Linked DNA regions of Saccharomyces cerevisiae S288C. The protein of the gene in region 2 interacts with the protein of the main gene of each other region in a pairwise test. Each region holds a gene or a part of one and is shown on either strand. Other genes may lie near its edges.

Region 1 (3,147 bases), on a different chromosome or scaffold from region 2:
TACCATGGGTATTGGCAGCAGCTACATTCAAGTATTGGGCTCCACAGACATCACAGAATTTGGTCAATGCCACTGAAAATGATTTACTGCCAGCTGATTTCGTCAAGTCATATCACAATACTTGGAAACGAATTTATGAGGAAGGATATGTTGCCAAGAAATGTGATTTAAAACGTCAAATCGATCAGACATTACAAAAAAATATAAGGTATGCAAGGGAACAGCTTTATGAAAAGTTGGAGCAAGCATGATATCAAGCGGATATCTTTTTTTGTTCATTATCATGTCCATAGTAAGTATGTCCATATATAAATCGGATAATTAATATTCTATAAAATTACCCATTAAATAAATTTCATTTATTTTGAATTTCATTTCGTGTGATCTTTAGAAGTTGGTTCGCGAATGGGCCGTGCATCCTGAAACATTTCAAACTTTAGGTAAATGGTCATAAAGCTCAGTGCTTTTTCTTTATCTTTTGCATTTTTTTTTTCTTGCCTCTACTCCAAAGCTGTCAGTAACCAACTTGGTGCTTTATTTTTGTCTATTTTTACTAAATTAGTGTCGAAAGCTTCTATAAGCAACTCTACAAGAATTCTACCACCTCTGCTACCAGTAAAGCGTCTATATTCTTCGGATACACTGGCTAAGTTCCAACCCATTATTCTTCTGAGACATCCAATGACTGTCCCAGTCCTATGTCTTCCCATACCACAGCACACTAGCAAGGGATAATTCTCTTGAGTGACGATCGTTTGTAGTACATTAATTATAGAATGTTCAGTGAGACCGTCCCATGGATTATCGTCCTCACCGGCATCCGGGTTGATGGCTGCGAATTGTAAGTTTATTCTATGAGTATCACAAAACTCTAGGAGGGTATCTTGAGGTTCTTCGTTAGACAGCCATATAATTGTTTTCAGTTTTAGGTTTAGTAAAAAGGGGAAATTCACAGGTGAAGGCTGACCAGATCTATAGAGGTATCTTTCAACGGGACAGAAATTCAAAGGTGGAACGATACGTTCTTGTGGGGCATGTGATACCAAGACCTTTTCGCGACCAGATTCTGTTTCTTCATTGATATATATATGATCATCATCGTCGTCTTCTTCCTCGTCTTCGTCTTCTACTTCTTCTTCAGGTACGGATACGTTCTCTTCTGTGAGGCGGGACTCATCCTCTGGAACGTCCTCATATTCACCAACTTTAGATGTCATTCTAAGGGGAAAGAGAAGCTTGTTATTCCAGGTGGAACACCTCTTTCTTGTGAAAATGGATGTGATTGATGACTCTCTGCAATGTCCAATTTTATGTTATAGCGATGTTGTTTGTTTTTTCCTTTACCCGGCAACCATATGATATTGCCCAAAGTTTCCAATGTTAACAAGAATGAAACGGAAATAGCAAATGGCAATAAGCAATATAAAAACAGTCACTTTTTTATTTACTTTTGTATATATTTATAAATGTGTGTACTCGTTTCAACTTTATAGAGTTCTTTTCGTCTTAGCGTTTCTACAACTATTTCCTTTTTATTAACTTATAATACAACAGCCACCCGATCCGCTCTTGGAGGCTTCACTGGTGTTACCGCCGGGTGCAGCTTGCTGCTTCCTAGCCTGTTTAGCATTTGAAACTTGACCGGCCTTACTATTATTATTTACACGATTATTAACCGTATTAGCGCTTTGAGCGTTGGCCTGACCAGCTTGGCCCGTGGAATTGTCTATATTGGTGCGATCAGTTTGTGTCTTACCATTTGTCGCCTGGTTGCCTGCCAACCCTGTCTTACTCTCTATGCTTGCATTCCTGGCATTCACGACAGTTGTGCTACTGTTCACATTTTTACCGTTGGCAGCATTGCTCATCTTCCTGTGGCCACCGCTATTTCTAGGCACAGAGTTGGCACCGCTCCCTTTTGTATCTTGAGAAGTTTGCTTGGAGTTGTCATTTTCCGTCAAAGTCTTGTTGTACTTGCCGCCTTCGTCTCTAACTAAACGTGCTAGAGTGTAAAACGCCTCTTCCACGTTGATTGCTTGCTTAGCAGATGTCTCCAAGAAAGGAGCGTTCATTTGCTTTGCCATGTTCAACCCGTCCTGGTAAGAGACCTGTTTTTCGTTTTCTAAATCAGATTTGTTACCAACAACCACAATTGGAACATAGTCGGTATCTTTGACTCTCAATATCTGTTGATAGTAAGTCATAAGCTCATCAAGAGACGACTTGGACGTTATAGAGTAAACCAATAGGAATCCTTCGCCGTTGCGCATGTATTGTTCCCTCATAGCAGAGTATTCTTCCTGCCCTGCAGTATCCAAAATGTCCAATATAGACACTTCATCATCAATCACCACTTGCTTCCTGTATGAATCCTCAATTGTGGGATCGTATTCATCTACAAAGTGCGATTGGGTCAATTGTATGGTCAAAGCAGATTTACCAACACCACCACCACCAACGACGACTAGCTTGTACTCTCTTATGTTCGACTTGTTCAAAGGCATTTTTTTTTCTGTATATCTCCTTTCAATTCGAAAACGGTTAACTTGGTTTTTTTATCCGTAATTCTCTCGTATCTTTCTGCTCAAGTAATTTTCTCCTAGTTGATTAATATAGTGCAGAAGAGTCAGATAAAGAGTGGATGAATAAAATGGAAAAAAAACAAAAGCCGGATTGCGTTACGCTTGAAATGAGCGATTCTAGGCGATAAGAGAAGACAACGGCTAAAACTTAAGATGTTGGGGTACTATAAATGTTTACCCAGATTTTCGGTAGAAATGTTTGCTGATGTGAACCTTGTTTCCCGTTTTCCCAGATCCCCTTATTCCAGCTTTGTTTCGTCTTTGCTGTCATGTTCCGTTTAATTTCTGAAGGCCTGCCTAGCTTCACCGTCCTAAATGTCACGCTCCAGGCAGAGACATGGCGCAGGGGCGAGGCCAGGGGCAAAGGGGTCAGGCAGGAACCTCCAAGGGGGGCGAGGTGAATGAAAAGGTCCTTCTGAATAAAAAGCCTAAGCGATTAGCCACACCACCCACTGTACGGCGATTAGACTGAGCTGCTGGCGCTGCTACGCCGTGACAAGTCATTTCATCATTTATTACGTTTTATCGTGCCGTCATCACCATCGATTTGAATATTTTATCTAGA
Region 2 (3,507 bases):
GTTGAATTATCCGATTTCACTCTTTGGTGGCACAAAATCATTTGTACTGACTACAAATGGAGCTATTGGTGGTAGAAATATGTCACTAGGCGTACTGTACCTCATCGTTGCAGGGCTTTGCGCCTTATTTGGCATCATTTTTTTGGTTAAATTAATCTTCCAACCAAGAGCGATGGGTGATCACACTTATTTGAATTTTGATGATGAAGAAAACGAGGATTATGAGGATGTACACGCAGAGAATACAACATTGAGGGAAATTTTATAGAGGCCAAAAAACAAACTTTAGTGCCTGTAGGTATTTGTGTTTATAAGTAAACAAGTTTTGTTGACTTCCTGAAACGTAAACAAAAGAAAAATTGAAGTATGCCTTTTTACGCTTGGAAAATAGTGCGACAAAGAACTCCCAGGGTTTGCTATTCCCATTTAGATGATGAAATGATAGAAAAGTGGAAAACGTTTATCATGAAATCATCTATACATATACGTAAAAATGTAAACTATGTAAAAATATGTTCCCTATAAAAGTGATGCTCTTCCGGAACGTTTTCTTTTTCCCACAAATCTCGTTGAAACCTGAACCAATCTGGTAATTCAGAATCACAGGGTATCCTTATTTTGACGTTATCTTTTCCCCTTGCTTTATAATAGCCATAATCTCCATTTTCTTTTTTATTAAATGCTAATCTATACCTATGGCCAAAAATTCCTAGGTCAGAAGAGGTTTTCTTCAAATCGTCTCCTAGAACTCCACTTACTTGTAATACTTTATTATTTTTCACTTTGGTTTCGATTTGATTTATTAATGTCAAAAGCCGCTGAGGCACTTCTGGCTCTCTGCAAAGGTCATCTTCATTTACTCTAATAAGTTTGCCAGAATTGGCCTTATACTCTATCGAATGCGTCCTATTATTCTCAAGGGGCAATTTTTTTGCTTTGTTGTCCACAATTGTCTTATTATCCTTCTCCTGTTCTATCTCAATGTTAATTATTTCTAGAAATGTTTCCGCAAAATAATTTCTATTCTTACCAGAAAATAATCTGTACTCATTTATGATTGATGCAATATTCCATTTCTGAATTTTTCGAAGTATACCAATGACCAACGCGGTCTTATCTACCAATAAAACATTATAATTATCCACATTCAATAATGTTTTGAAAGTTCTTTTTAAACACGTGCTCTTAATCAGCATTAAGTCATCATTGTCAGTCAAGTGGTAAGCCAATTCCTCCTGAATTACAGGATCCCCTGTAGTAGAATTTTGTGACCCATTTGCAGTGGATTTTTTCTTTTCTTCCTGTAATGATAGAGTACTGTTATTATTCGAATATAAATTTGCGTTAGATACAGAAGAGCTTTTTACCGGAACTGCCGCAGCCGAGAAATCAGACATCCTTAAAACAATCCATTTTATGGATGATCTTGTGAAAAAATCTTTGAAAAACTTGGATGGTTCTTGACCTCCAATAAATATAGCTGTCTTTAAATTGAGAGTTTCCAGAAAGGATAAATTTAATGTCTCCACTTTAGAACATCTATATATTCCTTCTTCAGCAATCCCAAAGTTAGCAGGTGGAACCAGCATTATGAATTCAGGTTATGGATCGCACCAGTGCTGTAAGTGTCTCTCTTTTTATTCTACGATCTCCATATAACAACCACATCTCATTTCTTTACCTTACTGTCCATTTAATGCTAGAAAACTTCCGAATATTGTATTATTATTACCCGGATATGTCAAGGCGGTATATTAAGATGTTCCTTTCAAAAGTTTCATTATACCGCATACGGTAAGGACAGCCATAAGTAGTTTTACTGATAAAATATGGGGCTAAAGAACTGTATATTTATGGATAGCACTAAAAGTAAAGATTTTCCCCGTGTCCTGACTTGGAGAAACAAAATTTCATTGTCATAAAAAACTTTTAAAATATGATATTCAAAGCTTGAGCATTGGGCTTCTGGATGACAGTTCTAATCAAGTTGGGTCTAAGGATATTGCATGTATACAAAGGATTCTTTCGGAAAGTAATCCTGAAATATTTTTTTTTTTCGTCTGAACATACGAAAGTAAATAAAAAAAGTTCAATGCATGCCTTCCTATGCAAGATTTATAAAAGGTGAACAGGTCAGGAGCAGCCACATCTCAATAAAGGCAGTTAAAGACGGTGATGTAGGTGCAGAAAGAGAAAGTGAACAAAGGATGATTTGAGATGTGTAATGATTCGTTTGAGCAGCAACAACTGCTAAGATATTCATACTAATAGGCCACTTCACACATTATGCCTTGGAGAATATCCTGCATTGCTCCTTTTATAGTATAGTCTATTCAGCACTAACAAGCAAAGCGAACATAATGGTAAAACTAACTTCAACTGTTGCTGGTGTCGCCTGCATCGCTGGCCCTCCCCTCCACTACGGCCATTTTAGCACAACTTGAATGAGTCAACTTGGTTGAGTTGCATGTTAACGTCTCTGATATCAGAGCTCACTTGCTCAATAATACATGTTACAAACTGCCCACTAAATTGAACACTCTAACATTATATTGACCTGAATTATTTGAAACGAAGTCAACAGAATGATCACTGATTTTCCAATGTACTCCGCTATGTTGAAGCTAGCCATCTTAAGCGATCAATGACGGTGCTCAATCATTCTTCGAAATGGGCTAAAAATGACAGTTGAAATATATTCTTTACGTTCATTTTTTTTCATACTGCAAACCCATTCTAGAACCAATGGTAAAAGTGACGGGAGTTGCTTTCTTTTACTATTTCAATGATAGCTATAGCCTGCATACACACAAAAGAATGTAAGTGATTGCGTGAAAGCTTAAAGTCTTAAAACTGTATTTTTTTCAACTCCTCCCATATATTAAACTGGTCCTCACAGTTCGCAGGATAACTAACAATTAAAAAAATTGTTCATATGGTTGTATTTCTTTCCGTCTCACATTATTAAAATTCAACGAAGAAGTTTCTACAATAACAGACAAGGGCCTACGATTACTATGTACTGGAAGGTGAGTCTTGAATTCATCCTCAGAGATTGTTCTAAAGACCAACAGAAATCCATATAGATTACCGTAGTTACTCTGATGGAATTTCAGAGTAAGACCCTTGTCAACTTCATCACTTTAAGTTGAGATGTAGAAAGACACTTTTGTAAGGTCTCCAACAAGTATATTTGATAAATAGACTGTTGAGCTACAAAAACTCAATGTGAAGTAAAAGACCTCATAAATGATCGATTATCTGTTTGGCAGGTACTAATAAAACTGCATTGGTGTCTTTTTTCACTTACGTTAAAAAAAACTTTTTGCAATGATTTAAGCGTGCGTGAAGATAACACTACAATCCATTTTAAAGCAACATCCACATTGAGTGTATACACCACAAAGGTTTTTTCAGGGCGTTTTTCTCGCCACTTTATGTTGACCAAAATTATTAATGGAACTTACAACGTTTCCAAAAGTTAGTTAAATACATACGTCTATTTAC

What was found. Proteins that work in one complex are often made in the same cells at the same time.
Region 1: the proteins of OCA4 (region 2) and OCA1 interact in binary tests that used the Saccharomyces cerevisiae proteins (3 or more experiments, as listed by UniProt).

Annotation. Positions count from the first base shown.
Region 1 is NC_001146.8:438,067-441,213, forward strand, and holds OCA1 (putative tyrosine protein phosphatase OCA1), read right to left. Parts: upstream 1,218-3,147; coding exon 501-1,217; downstream 1-500. Other genes in the region: MIC27 (Mic27p), read left to right, coding at 1-251; Ras family GTPase RAS2, read right to left, coding at 1,536-2,504; PLS1 (Pls1p), read right to left, coding at 2,731-2,853.
Region 2 is NC_001135.5:287,670-291,176, forward strand, and holds OCA4 (Oca4p), read right to left. Parts: upstream 1,590-3,507; coding exon 501-1,589; downstream 1-500. Other genes in the region: aminophospholipid translocase regulatory protein CDC50, read left to right, coding at 1-268; YCR095W-A (uncharacterized protein), read left to right, coding at 1,970-2,128.